Linked DNA regions of Xenopus tropicalis. The main gene of each other region encodes a partner of the protein of the gene in region 3 in a complex. Links are inferred from orthologs where the notes say so. Each region holds a gene or a part of one and is shown on either strand. Other genes may lie near its edges.

Evidence for each region.
Region 1: smarcc2 (region 3) and smarcd1 share a complex: the UniProt entries of both Homo sapiens proteins name them as parts of the BAF complex. The link is inferred for Xenopus tropicalis from reciprocal best matches to the Homo sapiens genes SMARCC2 and SMARCD1.
Region 2: smarcc2 (region 3) and dpf1 share a complex: the UniProt entries of both Homo sapiens proteins name them as parts of the neuron-specific chromatin remodeling complex. The link is inferred for Xenopus tropicalis from reciprocal best matches to the Homo sapiens genes SMARCC2 and DPF1.

The regions. Positions count from the first base shown.
Region 1 is NC_030678.2:148,804,187-148,809,726, forward strand, and holds part of smarcd1 (SWI/SNF-related matrix-associated actin-dependent regulator of chromatin subfamily D member 1), read left to right. Parts: intron 1-1,245; coding exon 1,246-1,433; intron 1,434-2,440; coding exon 2,441-2,483; intron 2,484-2,576; coding exon 2,577-2,699; intron 2,700-2,797; coding exon 2,798-2,920; intron 2,921-5,540. UniProt on the Homo sapiens protein: Involved in transcriptional activation and repression of select genes by chromatin remodeling (alteration of DNA-nucleosome topology).
Region 2 is NC_030684.2:77,398,006-77,403,645, forward strand, and holds the start of dpf1 (zinc finger protein neuro-d4), read left to right. Parts: upstream 1-2,252; coding exon 2,253-2,284; intron 2,285-5,640. UniProt on the Homo sapiens protein: May have an important role in developing neurons by participating in regulation of cell survival, possibly as a neurospecific transcription factor. Belongs to the neuron-specific chromatin remodeling complex (nBAF complex).
Region 3 is NC_030678.2:137,466,183-137,471,822, forward strand, and holds the start of smarcc2 (SWI/SNF complex subunit SMARCC2), read left to right. Parts: upstream 1-1,979; 5' UTR 1,980-2,575; coding exon 2,576-2,686; intron 2,687-5,640. UniProt on the Homo sapiens protein: Involved in transcriptional activation and repression of select genes by chromatin remodeling (alteration of DNA-nucleosome topology).

The DNA.
Region 1 (5,540 bases), about 11 Mb from region 3:
TGTTCTGTTAAAACTGTGTACTGTAATGTTTGTCCGTGTAACTTTTAACACATTACAGTATGGTGTATTTATTGTAGCAAATACACCATACTCAAAGCCTGGTGCTGCCTTATTGCTTGTTAAAAAAACCCAGAGTTATGGTGACCATGCACGGGCAGATTTAAGCCGCTGGGTCCTTCAGACCGGATTTGGCAGTTTATCTGCCATGTATGTTGACCCCCGGCCATGTATGTTGACCAGTATGTCAATACATAATAGCTAGAAGTTAACTTCTTCCTTTTCAGCTGTCCACCCTGTTAAAAGCCAGTGACTTGAGGGCAAACATAGTATGGGACATAACTGTTTTCTTTTGAACCTCACCTGCGTGCTAAGGATAAAAAGCAGACTAAGTGAACATTGGCCTTTCCACCAGCAACTCCTATTGTTGTCGGTGGAAAGACATTTCAGAGTGGTTAGACACCTGCAATAACAGAGATCTATTGCGGGAGACTGAACCACTCCATGGGACATCAGTCAAGAGATTAGAGAGCTGAAAGGGGGAAGTCGTGTTCTGTCTATTATGTTAGACATCCACTTACTCCACTCCATTCTTGGCTCTCGAGCAGATTTCATGGCACACTCTGCTTAGCAGCATAATGCAATACTATTAATATTTGTATGTGCTTAAGAGTTACAATATTTAAATAAACAGCTACTATAAACTATAATCTATGAAAAAGGGAGAGTCTCCTTAATTCAGTGATCCCCAACCAGTGGCTTGGGAGCAACATGTTACTCACTAACCCCTTGGATGTTGCTCACAGTCCCCCCAAAGCACATACTTGTTTTTGAATTTCTGTTTTGGAGGCCTTTTGTACTGCCAAACAGAGTCACCTGTAGGCTGCTAGTACAAATTGGGCTACCAAATAACCAAGCACAGCCCTTATTTGACAGTTACTAGAAATTTATTTCATGCATGTGTTGCTCCCCAACTGTTTTTTTTTTTTTTTTTTTTTTTTTATATTTAAATGTGGTTCACTGCTAAAAAAAAAAAAGGTTACCCCTGCCTTCATGAATATGCAGAACATGGTAGATGAGGGAGAAAAATAGTGTTGGGTGGAACAAGCAAGAAGACCGATGTAGATTTTAATATACAGTTGTATAAAATGAACAGTATAATGCACGGTGTGTGTCTCTCAAATAATGTATATCAAACAGTGTCAGTTCTTGTGTAATGAAACCTTATTCTATATTTATTCTGTGCAGAGACCTGGAATGCTTCCAGGTAGCCGAATGACTCCTCAGGGACCAGCAATGGGCCCCCCTGGTTATGGTGGAAGTCCAGCTGCTCGGCCAGGCATGGCCCAATCAGGCATGGACCAGTCTCGGAAACGTCCTGCACCCCAGCAAATACAGCAGGTGCAACAACAGGCTGCTCAGAATAGGAACCATAGGTAATGTTTTGATTTGAATTAGCAGTTCCTGCTTTAGAAGGACCTATATATCTCCAAAACTGCTTAAGTTGGTTTCTCAAAATACATGGCTCACTAGCATAGCTGCAGCTTAAAGTTAAATGGCTTATTTGAAGTATTCTGTACTGTAGTTTTTAAATGCCACATGGACATATGTGCCCAACCCCCTCATGTATGGCCACTTTTAGGGTAAGAACCAACGGAGCAGTTCGGTTGCCCGCAATAGAACGCTATCACGGGCGACTACCACTCCGAAATGGCTTTCCACTGGCAACAATAGGAGTATTCCAAAGTCGTGCAAAGTTTCTTCCTGCAGGCAAGATCAATTGTGGATTACTAAACCACTACGTGAGTTCTTACCCTCAGTGTACAGTGCAGATTGGGGCACATTAATGATTCCAGTGGAATTTAGTTCTCCGCACTGTTGCTTCAGACCGACTTAGCAGCCATCCCGGCAGCCAGCCTGCCTGATAATCAGCTGGTTATCTATCAGGCAGAAAAATCCTATCAGATGTGGTTCTCTCCCTGCAGATTTCCATAGGCCTTAAGGTGGCCACACATGTGGCGATCTGCCACTAACCTTCAGGGCTGAAAGAGGCAGATAAGGAGGTAGAAACAATAGGATTTCTACCTCCTTCTGCCGATTCAGCGCTGAAGGCAGATTTTGGTCAGGCGCCTTCTATGGCGCCCAACCAAAATCTTTTAACTGGCCCGATCGGTGAGTCGACCGATATCAGCAGCTTCGACTCGCCAACTTGCCATACACGCACCGAATATCATGTGAATCGGTGCGTGTATGGCCAGCTTTAAATGTTCTTACTGTCGGCCATTTGCAGAGCAAATGGATAGCCAAAAAGCATATCTTCCCATGTGTGCCAATGTAGTTGAACAAATGGTTGTATGTAATAGGCTTAGCTAATATATCCTCTTTTAGAGGCTTAAAGTGGATCCATAAATGAGTAAAAGTTATTGTTCTTTTCTTCATACAGTGCTAAAAAGAAGAAAATGGCTGATAAGATACTACCTCAGAGGGTAAGTACTCGAGAAGATGGCACCATAGTTATTTAACTTTTTTCTATTTTTTTAATCGACAATATATATATATATTATTTTCTATTCCTACAGATAAGGGAACTGGTACCCGAATCTCAGGCTTACATGGATCTGTTAGCGTTCGAGAGAAAGCTGGATCAAACAATCATGAGGAAACGGCTTGATATTCAGGAGGCTTTGAAGAGACCAATAAAGGTATTCTGGACAGAAATTCTTTAAGTTCAAAGTGGAATTTTTAATTATATTTTCTTCTTTGACATTATCTGTTCTTATACAAATTTCTTAATTTTTAGCAAAAGAGAAAACTTCGGATCTTCATTTCAAATACTTTCAACCCTGCAAAATCAGATGCTGAAGATGGAGAGGGAACTGTTGCCTCATGGGAGCTGCGGGTGGAGGGCCGTCTCCTTGAGGATGTGAGTACTGAGCAACAAAAATGTTTCCATTGATTACTTAATGACAACCCCCCCCGTCCTTTTATATAACAGTCACAGGTTGGATTCTGTAGAGTAGGTCTGTCCAACCGGAGGCCTGTGGGCAGGATGTGACCTTCCAAAGGATTTCTATGTCCCTTTGTCTCTAAATATGACATTTTTATTTAATCTGACCCTGGTATTTTTGGGCCAATCTTAGCTTCTCCTCAGCTACGTGTAGCTTCATGCATGCTGAAGCTGTGATGTACCAATGACCAATGTAGCTACTAGGGATTATTATTATTATTATTATTATTATTAACATTTATTTATAAAGCACCAACATATTCCGCAGCGCTGTACAATAAGTGGGTTTCATACATTGGACATACAGAGTAACATATAAAGCAATCAATAACCGATACAAGAGGTGAAGAGCTTCCAAAAGAGCTTACAATCTACAAGGGATGCACCAAACCCTGTTTTTTGGGTTCAGCTGAACCCTGAATCCATGGTGAGGGATTCGGCTGAATTTCGGTTCATTCATATGCCTGCTGTAGGGCCCTCTATCACAACTGCACAATTCCCGCCTGCACCCCCTTACAGGTGATCGTGTCCCCCCCCCCCCCCCGAGCTGTTTGTAACTTCTGACAGCAGCCGCTGTGCGGCTTATAAAGAACGTTTGGCTCTGTGCTCATTGTGGCTAGAGAACAACAGAGCCGAACATTCCTTGTAAGCAGCATAACGGCTGCTGTCAAGTTACGAACAGCTCTCAGGGGGAAGCAGGACAGAACGGCTCTTGCAGGGGAAGCAGGGTACGGCACATCGGTGGGCAGGCAAGGTGGGGGAAGCAGGACACAACAGCTCTTGCAGGGCATTAGCATATGCTAATTGGGATTCGGTTCAGCCAGGACCGTTGATTCGGCCGAATTCGAATCCATCCGAAAAAGGCCTAATCCTGGCCGAATACCGAACCGAATCCTGGATTTGGTGCATCCCTAGTAGTTACAGGGCAATGTGTATTAGAGCGGTCCCCTTCTCTCCCTGTCTGACTGACCAGGGCCTTAGCTGTTAGGGCTAAGAGACATGGAGCTACTTAGTAGCAGCTACTTGTCAACGGCCTAAAAATGCCAGAAAATACCCTGCCACGGACAATACTCAGAGCAAAGCTGACCCGGGGACTGGTCTGATTGTCATATTGGAATAAAGAAGGATTTTTCCCCTCTGGTTTCACCTGTAGAAAAATGTGTGTGTTTGGTGTTTTGTTTTTGTTTTTTACCTCATCTGCTATGTTATTACGTTAATACTTTAGACCAGTCAACAGGCTACAGCATATAGTCATATTGGTGCTCCACAGGCGTTAGGAGACTCTTTACTGACTGCTTTATGAATCCCTCAAAACTGGTTAATAAGACCCATACTTATTATTCTTTTCAAAGTAATTATTTCCTTTTAAAGTAATTAATCTGAAAGATAAAAGTTTTATTGACAAGACCTCTAGAAAAAAAAAATGGTATGCTTATTGGATATTTCATCCTGGGGTTTAAGGGGAACTGCCGTTAAAATGAATGATAATGACATCCCTGACATTTTCCATTTTAGCGCTGAATTTTATCAGCAAGATGTGGGCTCAGCTTAATATAAGCTGACGGGAGGGAGAAGAGCCGAAGCTAATTTAATGAAATTCTGTATTGAGATGAAATATTTCCAATAGAAGCTGTCAGATCCTTTCTGTGCCATTTAATGAAGTTCAGGAAGAAGGGCCTATCTGTTTCTGTTATAATAAGATGCAGAAAGGCCATTTAAAGCAGTTGGAGACAGGGAACTGTTAAACTACAGCGGCTGTTTTCTGACCATATTGGTGCTTCTAACAAAACCTGTTCTCTGTTGGGGAACTTGGTTTGAGTGGACAAGCATAAGAAATACAATATTTGCAGTGCTCTTAGTTAATTATATATATTAAATTATAAGTGACTATTTATTTGGTAGATCTGGATGAGGCGCTTGTTTAAATACCAGAAAGATTTACTAGTGGGGAAGTGTCATTGTTAATTGAGCTTAACTTTTTAAGGCGGTATAAAAGGGATAGTGAAACATTGCAGTTTTAACAGCAGCATGGGAATAAGCCTATATCAACCTTATCACCCTGTTTAAAGTGGAACATCTTTCTGTCCCTTTAAATTCATGGGGATGCAGAATAACAAGCTACCTGAGCCAGACCGCAGCTGTGAAGGATCAGAGGGTAAATATGGAGGCAATACATTGCACACAATGATCCACTATTGCTTTAAAATAGACAAAAATAATTGTGCGTTTTTTTTTCTTTTTAAATTGATAGAATGACCCACTGGTATGTTAAAAAGGTATTAAGGTCATTAACACTAGAAAGGCCCTAAAAGCATTTATATACAGTATTCACTTAGTTTGTGCTCAGTAATTGTGTCTCCATTTCTAGAAACCATGATATATGTGTGTTTCATAATACCTGTACTTGTTCTGGTAGGGCTTTTGGGGCAGCTCATAAGTATTTATTATCTAAGTTTCCATTCAATACAATTGACCTGGCAGTGCTTTGTTTAGAGAACAGATAAAAGATGTCTAAACAAAGCAGAGCTCAAAACAA
Region 2 (5,640 bases), on a different chromosome or scaffold from region 3:
GATTTGACTACTAAAAGCTAGGCTTAAAATCCATATTTCAAATCAGGTGTAGAAACATCACCGGCATGCACTCAATGGACTCCAGAACAGCAGTTGTAAAACTTCAAAAAGGCTTTATTCAAGGATCCGGATCCTTGAATAAAGCCTTTTTGAAGTTTTACAACCGCTGTCCTGGAGTCAGTTGAGTGCATGCCGGTGATGTTTCTACACCTGATTTGAGGTTGTGTTTTCCCTTGCTGCGGGTCTGGGGCATTGCACCCGGGCCACTGAGAGGAAGCAGTGAGTGTATATTTAACCGTTCACAACTGTACGTAGAATATTAATTGCACTAATATGAAGACTGAATACCTACAGAGCGAGAGGTTCGGGGCATAAGCACCTGGACCTGTAGTCTAATTTGGTGAGCGTTTGACTTGTTATAAGAAACCATTAAATGTAAGCTTAAGTTTATAGTTCACCACTACATAAGTATATAAGTGAATAGGAACGACTGGGAGCCTCCAGACAAACAGAGTGAATGGTATTAAAATCCATATTGTCCACTGTGGTGGACCCCCAGTCTTAAGGTGGCCATTCACTGTAAGATCAACTCATTTGGCGAGGTCGCCAAGTGAGCAGATCTTCTCCCGATATGCCCATCTACGGGTGGGCGATATAGGGTTAATTCAATCAAATCAGAACGGCTGGCATAGGCGCCATCGGATGGGGGACCGCATCATCGAGCCTATACGGTCCCCCATTTGACGGAAAAATCAAACCTGCCCAATCGAGATCTGCCCAATTCCAGTTTTCTGTTGGGGAGGCCTGTCGGTGGTGCCCATAGACGGGCAGATAAGCTGCCTAATCGGTCACCTTTACATAGAGCGATTTGCATAAACTGAAAGTGACCATGTACTATGGCCAAGGCCCTGTTCTTTTCTGGCTCTCTAATCTCTTTGGCAAAGGAAAAAAAACATCTGGGTCATAACGCAACATTCCTCACCAGCTCTGACATAAATTGCCTGTACAGGAAATATAAAAGGATCGACTGCACACTAAAGATCACTGAAAATTTTAAGGGCAGCAAAGTGGCGCAATGGTTAGCTCTTTTGACTTTGGGGTCCTAGATTCAGTACCTAGAACTCAAATTGACCACAGAGGGCATAATTGTTATAGGTACTTAGAGCTTTATGCTACACTTGGGAAGGGACTGGTGTGAATGATATATAATCTTTGCCAGGCGCATAAGAATGTGTTAGCACTATACAAAGAATAACAATAATTATAATGTGGCAGTGTGAAGGGGGGCTTATTATATGAGGAATATAAAAGAAGCAGCTGAATACAGGTGCTTGACATAGTACTAAAGTACTCACTTTATGTGGAGTTTACAAGAAAGTGGAGCGCACACCATATCTGTTTGGCAAGGCCACGGAAATGGGGACCTGCTGCATGATCTGTGCCAGCAATGGGGACTATGGGAGCCCTGCTGATGAAGGACACACTTTTCCCTTACCCTTCCATGGTGACTGGTTCTCCTTTCTTTCCTGCAGGTCCCTGAATTGCAGTGGGCACACTATCTTCCTCAAGGCTCCAATCTTCCCTGCAGCGTACTTGTATCTTATTACTGGACCTGCAATCAAACAAATTTAGGATATAACTGATATTAACAACTTCAGTGTTTTCCTTTATCAGTTTTAAGTCCATTCATCCCCTCCCAATTCTCTCTCCACCGCCTGATCTCTATTATTCTGCTCTCCCCTCACCTTCTCCCCCCCTTCCCCCCAACCCACTTGCTGCATTTTTTTCTGCTGGCTTGTTAACAAAAGGCCCTTATGGGGCCTCACCAGCAATGACTAGGCTCGTCCTATTTTTATCTCAGTTTTCCTCACAACCTGACTGCCTCTCCCACCTAACTCATAAACTTGCCTGTCTCTCCCTTTTTGACAATCCCTTCCCGCGCCCCCCATCCAACACACAAAGTCTCCCCTTCCCATTGCCCCCAGCTCCCCCTCCTCCCTTTACAGTACCTTAACCTTCTCCACCAATCATTTTCTTCTTCAGCCTCCCAGACTTGTCCCTCGCAATGAACTCTGGGCAACGTAGTGCCATTTTCAATTCATATTCATACTGGCGCGGCTCTCAAAACTACAACTCCCAGTCTTACCCTCAACACGGCCTTTGATTGGCCATTGCGTGCAGAATGAATGAAATTGTACAGTATTGTGATATTAGAGGGGCTGCAGTGTTCCTGCCTAATACCCAGCTGCACCATGAACACAGCCCTCCACAACCCCTTAAAATCGTGAGTATACTGGACTTAAAGATAGTTACAGCTGTGTATACTGCATTTACACTGTCTGAGACTGTATATCTTTCAGATGTATACATGTGTGTTTAGCATTATTACAACATGGACATATCTACATGAATACTATGCATGAAAGAGTGTGTCTGCCTGCCAATTTGTGTATTATAGTGTGTGTGTGTATGTAATACATTTATTTGAGATTATATATATATCTATATATATATAGATATATGTGTGTGTGTGTGTTTGTTCTGTACATTTGCATGTAGATTGTTATATATATTAACTCTTGTGGGTGCTATATATATATTAAATGTCAAAAAGTGGAATCAACCATCTATTCTGCACGTATACTATGCATTATAGAATTTCACAGTGAGGTCACATCCAGCTGCTTTTAGAGGAGGGTCTTACATCTGGATTAGACTGTATCCTTAGGGTATGTCTGAGGTCTAGACTGCGACTGCGATCGTTTGCCTATTATCTATCCATGTATTTAGCTACCTATTCATCCATCTGTCTTTGCCTATCGTTCCTTTGGGAAAGGGAATTTATTTGTGATTACCCATAGTTCACTTTTCTACAGCATTTTCATATAAAATGTACAGCAGTGTTTTGCTGATTTTAATAGTATTTGGTTGCACCTGAGTAATATGAATTTTGAAAGCTAAATTTAGGGTATTGTCTTAAAAATAAAATCCCTGTAACTTATGTTAACACTATTAATGCATTTTATGCATAATATTTATTCAAAAATATGTAATATGCTTAAATATGTGTTTTAAGCCATACATAGCACCATGCAAGCAGAGCAAGTGAGCTGAGTGCCTGGGAACCTTCTGTCCTTAATTCCTAGTGCACATCTGGGCAGACTGTATGCACGTGATAAAGTAGCCATTAACCCAGTCAGTGCCTGAAGTAATCAGACTGTAATAATAAGCAAATAATGGATACTGCATCACTCTGCATACTGTTTGACACTAAATAATTATTTGTAGTTTTGCAGCCATGAGCATATTTAAAGCTGCAGAAGATTATAGAAGAACTGCATTTTGTCAGATATGAGTAAAATATGGGTTACTGCTGTCACCTAAAATCCTATATTTCTCCCAGTGGTTAAGCTGGGGACATTTCACTTTAACTCATTCAGCTCTGACTGAATACAACTGTGAGAGGCAGTTCTCGTTCTTTCTGGTACTGTGTGCAGTTATCAGTTTAACCTAATTTGATTTGACACATGCACTGCAAAATATAGTATGACTGCTCTCTGTAAAATGCATTATATGCATGCTTTTTATCAAAAATATTTGCAGATTGTGACTGTAGCTTTGTAAGCAAATTGGCAAGGCTTCTCTCTCAAGCAATGCACTGGACATGAAGACTTGATAAGGAGAAAGCCTTTATTGAGTGAAAATCTAATGTTACAGATTATCTTATTGGTAAATTAAATTTTTGGTAAATTAAAATACAGTTACTGTTACTAATCTTGCTTTCACAAGGACTTACATATATGGCGCTGTTGTATTAGGCTGTATGCCACACTCACATATATTATAAGATCCGTGTATACCTGCTTTAATTTGACAATTCTAATTTCTTTAGTATATTTGTATATTAAGGAGACATTGTTTTAATCATTTTTTAAAGAATAATAAGTTTTATCACTTATATTAGTAAGTAAAACAAAGGAAATTTAATTTATTAGAGGCACTGTGTCCAAAAGTTACTGCTTGGTAAATTTAAGCTAGAGTTTAAATCATTTTTAGGATAATTTGGCCACCAGAGGACATGGTTTCAGTGGACTCTGTGGTTCATATGTAACTGGTTGCATTGGTGAGAAACATTAAGGCAGCTTTTACTGCCTTATACAAATAAACATAATGATGCGCAGATAAATAAGGCCATGGTAAATACCTTATATGAATTTATAGAAATATAAATTGAATATAGGCCCTTTTACACTACACTAGAACTTAGTAAAGCACAAATTATGCAGTGTAAGTCCCTGTGTGTATATATATATATATATATATATATATATATATATATATATATATATATATACAGAGATCTGCATGTGCACCCAAGCAACCCTGATATGTTTTTTCTTTATGTGTCCTAACATCATTTCTGTCATATTGTTGATATTTAGGTACTATATATACTTTAATATATATTTAATATGTACTATATATATACTTTAATAATGAATGCTCCTTATATATATTTGTTGTGTGCTCAGCCTGGTGTAGTAAAGGGGCAGTATTATGGCAGAAAATAATTGAACGTGCATTATATTTTGACTGTTATATTGGTACACACTTGCCTATCCACTCAAGCTATCATTCCTGATCTTATAAAGTTGCCATTGAAACCAGCATTGCCAGTTTCCAAGCTGTCTGGGTCCTGTCTGTGTCTCAGCTCCAATTATATGTGTGCAGACATCTCATGACAGTTCTGCCTGACTGGGTGAACCCAGCCTGTTACATATTCATATCTGTGGGGAATTCATATATATTGTATCTGTGTGCATAATAAGCATATATGCTCCCATGTATCCATAAATGTACATTTTCTGTATACATGCACATGTATTGCTAAGAAAATACCTCTTCATAATAGATTGTTATACAGTACTATAAAATAATTATGTCATGCTTTGTGAATATTAATGATGACCACTGCAGAACTGAAGACTTACCTACTGTAAGATATAACTAGAAAAATATCCTATCTGAACAAGGCAATGATACATTTTGGAAAAAAATTAGAAGTATATTTAGAAGTGACATTTGCATGCAACAAGACTCCAGCCACTATAAACTACATTGTCCAAAATGCAGCAAGCCAGTGGCTAACAGTCACATGCAATGTCCCATTGCTTTCTGGGAAAAATGCACAGTCCAGAGCAGGCTCTAATTTAATATTTAGTAATGGACCAGGACACCGATAGTACAAATCCAATATGGAAGCAGAATTTTTAATCTAATATGGAATGAAATTCAAGATTGGACTATAAAATAAAAATATACATTATTTAGCACCAACTTAGCATTTAAAGTGAATTATATACTAACCTGTGTTTTTAATTTTTTGATATAGAATGGAATAGTAGGGAGCATTTTTCTTTTCAGTGCATCAGAGATGTCTGTATCTGTGCTATTAACTCTTATTTTCTCTTTCCTCGTTGTCTAATAATCTCCTCCTATTTTATGATGACTGACAGTGCAAGCAGCACTGTAAGAACCTCATCATATAAAGTAGAAGGGGTTATAGTCTTGATTGGCTGACCTTTAGGACTACAGCATTTTGTCCCCTCCCAATTTCTTTCCCAAGTTGGTTGTTGGTCA
Region 3 (5,640 bases):
TACTATCTGTACTACTGTAACTATCACACTATCTGTACTACTGTAACTATCACACTATCTGTACTACTGTAAACTATCAACTATCTGTACTCTGTAACTACTGTAACTATCACACTATCTGTAACTACTGTAACTATCACACTATCTGTACTACTTTACTGTAACTATCACACTATCTGTACTACTGTAACTATCACACTATCTGTACTACTGTAACTATCACACTATCTGTACTACTGTAACTATCACACTATCTGTACTACTGTAACTATCACACTATCTGTACTACTGTAACTATCACACTATCTGTACTACTGTAAACTATCACACTATCTGTACTACTGTAACTATCACACTATCTGTACTACTGTAACTATCACACTATCTGTACTACTGTAACTATCACACTATCTGTACTACTGTAACTACACACTATCTGTACTACTGTAACTATACTACTGTACTACACTACTATCTGTACTACTGTAACTATCACACTACTCTACTACTAACTATCACACTACACTACTGTAACTATCACACTATCTGTACTACTGTAACTATCACACTATCTGTACTACTGTAACTATCACACTATCTGTACTACTGTACTGTACTACTGTAACTATCACACTATCTGTACTACTGTAACTATCACACTATCTGTACTACTGTAACTATCACACTATACTACTGTACTACTGTAACACACTATCTGTACTACTGTAACTATCACACTATCTGTACTACTGTACTATATCTGTACTACTGTACTGTACTACTGTAACTATCACACTATCTGTACTACTGTAACTATCACACTATCTGTACTACTGTAACTATCACACTATCTGTACTACTGTAACTATCACACTACTACTGTACTACTGTACTACTGTAACTATCACACTATCTGTACTACTGTAACTATCACACTATCTGTACTACTGTACTACTGTAACTATCACACTATACTGTACTACTGTAACTATACTACTACTGTACTACTGTAACTATCACACTATCTGTACTACTGTACTACTGTACTACTGTAACTATCACACTATCTGTACTACTGTAACTATCACACTATCTGTACTACTGTACTACTAACTACTGTACTGTACTACTGTAACTATCACACTATCTGTACTACTGTACTACTGTAACTATCACACTATCTGTACTACTGTACTGTACTACTGTAACTATCACACTATCTGTACTACTGTACTGTACTACTGTAACTATCACACTATCTGTACTACTGTAACTATCACACTATCTGTACTACTGTAACTATCACACTATCTGTACTACTGTAACTATCACACTATCTGTACTACTGTAACTATCACACTATCTGTACTACTGTAACTATCACAGCCCCCTTCCTGCCCAGTACCCAACACAGGTGCAACCTGGCCAATAAAATTTATACTTGATGCCAATTATTAATAGGGCAGAAAAATACAAATATAAAAAGGCCAATTGCACCCAGCCCTAGTGTAACCTTAGCAGAACCCATACAATTTTTTTTTCAATAAATGAAAATGTTTTACAATAAATGAATGAGTTCAGGTCTGCAGCACCCATGGATCTTTGGTGGTGTGTGCCTTGCCCAAGTTTTGTCCAGTATCCCTCTGCCGATCCGCCATTGTTTTTAATGGGCAACTTGTTAGTCTCCCCATTCTGTCACACTTTGGAGGGACGCTGAGAATTGTCAAGTCGCCCAAACACAGTACGTACTAAAGTACCTCTGTAGCATTTACAGTAAGAAAGTGTACACCAGGAGGAGAGCTACAGTAAAGTCAGTAAGCCTGGGGAATATTCTGTTTGTGAGGAAAAAAAATAGAATTTACAAGCTAAACGAATCCGTCACGGACAGGATTCGAACCTGTGCGGGGAAACCCCATTGGATTTCGAGTCCAACGCCTTAACCACTCGGCCACCGTGACTGTCGGCCAACCAACTCGCTCAGCCTACTGACACAGAGCGTGAGCCGGCGTGCGTTTTTCCCCAACATGGCGGCCGTACGCTCCCTGGCAAAGCTATGCTTGGAGGGGCTGCAATGCACGGAGGGGCTGGGAAAGGACACCGAATGGAAGGGGGCAATTTGAGTTGTGGAAGACTGGGCGCTGCTGTGTGGGCGCTGCTGTGTGGGCGCTGCTGCAGCGAGTGTTTCCCAGCGGCACTAGGGCAGGAACATTCAGCCTGTGAGTCCGGCCGTAGAAAGAACTTACTGACTCTTATATTCGAGTCACAGTGTTCGCACCTGCTGGAAGTGCCCGGCGCTGGCACCGCGGTATAAGTCTTATGCGTACCGCCGTGATCGCCACTTCTTCTTTCCAATCAATAATATCACGTCAGGCTTTTTGGCGCTATATTGCCCATTTTAGCGGCACAGTGGCTTTTAGCCGCAGTATCCTGCCCAAGGCCGCCGTGGTATGCTGGGACATGTAGTTCGCTAACAACTGGAGGGCCACTGGTTGCCGATGTCCCGCTGCACTTATCGTTCCGGCCGCTAGGTGCCGCTCAGCTCTCGGGTTGGAGGTGCCGGGCAAGCTGGCAGAAGATGGCGGTGCGGAAGAAGGACGGCGGCCCGAATGTGAAATTTTACGAGGCATCCGACACTGTCGCACAGTTCGACAACGTGCGGCTATGGCTGGGCAAGAATTATAAGAAGGTACTGCAATGAGGGACTTCGAGTCCTACGGCAAACGAAGTCCCCTAGTGTGTTTCCCTGAGCTGCACACCTAGAACAAAGAGACAGGCCCGAGTACGGGGGTGTTAGGGCTGGTGGGCACTTAGCAGCAGGAGGCCCCGCAATGGCCCCTACTCTGCCTGTCACCTAGGTTACTGACAATGATGCTTCCTCTAGAGAAGGGAGCCTGTTATATTAAATGGTTATATGGGGCCTTCACCCGCCCAGTAAGCTGAATAATAGAACAAAATGAGCCCTGAATGTGTCCCTGTGCGCTACAGAATCCGGACATGTCATGCCGTGCCATCTTTTATTTCTATAGCAACAGATGGAAGATGTACAGTAATGCCCTATTGTAGGAAGAATAAATAACTCTGCATCCCACCAATTGTCAGCTCAGTGGGCAAGGCATAGTACTAGCCTTTCATGTCAGTACCTTGCTCCTCAGTGGCAACTCCCGGCCCCACCATTATCCTCTCCTGTCATGTCAGATCTTGTTACCCTTGCCATTCACAGTCATTGTGCCAAACAGTAAAGGGGTGAACATTTCCCCAGTATTATCCCTTTAGTAAAGCCCTGGGTTGGGTTCTGTTATATTCTTTTGCTTTTGGTCCATGGGGAAGCACAGGGCTACATCCCTGCATTGCTGGTTCCTAACTGCCAGCATCTGTTTCACATACACGGATCCTCTGCACATGCTCAGTGGCACAACTCTTCACCCTTTTGGGAGGTTCTAAGTTAGGGACACCCCACACACGCAGGGTTTTGGGCTAGAACATATGTATGGTGCTACAGGTCGGTGGAGAGAGTGGTTCAATCATTCATGTTACCTGACTAATACCAAATGCTCTATTTGTGTTTCCTACTCATCTAGGGAAAAATAAATATTATATTGATACTTTTTAGCTGATTGCATTGTTTGCTTTCATTTAATGTGTTGACAACACATAAATAGAAGCAAATAGCACAACAAGCGTAATAACTTAAAGAACTGACATAACTGTGCCTGATACTTTAGCAGCTGGAGTGTTGTTGCAGAAAGTGCCCCTTCCATAGACAGCACGGAATGAGAGGAATGCATATATACACATATATATATATAGAACTGTTTACAAGCTGCATGTCCTGTAGCGTGAGCATGTTAGTAGCACGTGCTAGTGTGGTTATCCTCAGACTTACCTTTGCCCTAGTGCTGATGTGTGAGTCACCTGAGTGCATTCCCTTTCATATACTTCTTAATACCTGCTCTACAGTTGTACTGCTATTTTGTTTAGAATAACTCTGTAGCCAAATCTGCGCCAGTAGCTAACATGGCAGGGTAATTTGTTTTGTTAATTGTTGGATGAAGAACAAAATATAGACCTGTCTAAAAATATACATATCTATGTAAAAGAAGAGGTTACATGGAATATCCCTTTGTTTATAAGGGTCTTTAACGTCCCATAACACTAGAAAATGTATGTATGTATATCTTTATTTATAAAACGCTACTTATATATGCAGCGCTGTACAGTAGAATACATTAATATAAACAGGGGGTATTAAAATAGATAAATACAAAGTATTACAATAAGCACAATTAAATAAAAGATACAATTGTAATAAGATAAGAGTCAAAGACACAAGAGGATGGAGGATATCTGTGGATACTAGCAAATGCCGGAGGGGCTGCTGTAAGATGCCATAGGGAGTTGCTATCTATTGGGCTGGCAGGGAGGCTGTTTGGGCCTCTGTGTACTTGAAATACCAGGGCCTATTTTGAATTCTAGGTCAGGCCTGTAGCCATGCACCTGTTTCTGGCATTTTAGGCTAATGCCAGACGAGGCGTAGAGAGGATATTTTCAGCAAACGGAAAATCGCTTGCCGAAAATATCGCCCTACGCTTCCTACATGTGCCTGCACCCGAATGAATGGAATACGCTTGGGTGCAGGCACATGTAGCCGAAATACGCATAAAAACGGGAGACTTTCAAACTCTCGCGTTTTTATGTGTATTTTTGCTACATGTGCCTGCACCCAAGCGTATTCCATTCATTCGTGTGCAGGCACAAGTAGGAGGCGTAGGGCGGAATTTTCGGCAAGCGTTTTTCCGCTTGCCGAAAATATCCGCCCTACACCTCGTCTGACATCAGCCTTAAGGTGACAATACATTGGGAGATGTAAGGTGCCGATTTATCTTCTTCAGGCTGAGTCTGCAGCTTATCTATCCATGTATTGGGCCCTCCAACGGGCCTGCCTTACTGAGATCTATCCAAAAAAAGTCCAGTCTGGGCATGGATGATGCAGTCCTCGCCCCAAAATCCTGCTTTTACTGTAATTGTGATCCAATAGTTTTGCCCTTGGGCCAAAGATCAGGTCAGCTCGGTATTGCCTACCTCAGGGTGGGCATATCAGGAAAAGTTTGTGGAACTTTATTCCAAGAAGATTAATATGAATCTGGTTCTTTTTTTTGCTTTAAATCAGCCTGTACTTATTTGGAAAGGCTTTCCTCTACACATTGGAATATTATGATAGGATTTACAGTTTGCAAATGATACATTAGTTGGTCTTATACAAGGCAAAGATGCAAAATCCTATCGTCAATTTGTGACATATTAGGTATCAAAGAGACCATAATCTAGTCATAAACAGAGTCAACAGTAAAAATTAACCATGGACATCAAATGGAACCCTAACAAGCAGTACAACCTACAAAACAGAGGTACTGAGATGAAGCAGCTTGGCATCAGATTCCAAACTAACTGAACAGTTATGTCCCATGTGGCCCCCCCTCAAGTCACTGATTGGCTACTGAATGCTAACAGCTTAGAGAGCTGTAAAGCAGGAAGTAGAGTTCTGGCCATTATGTTAGACATCTGCTCACTCCAGCCTTTATAGATTTCATTTTTGCTTAAGTAACATATTACAAATATTTTTATTTTGCGCAGTCGATTTAT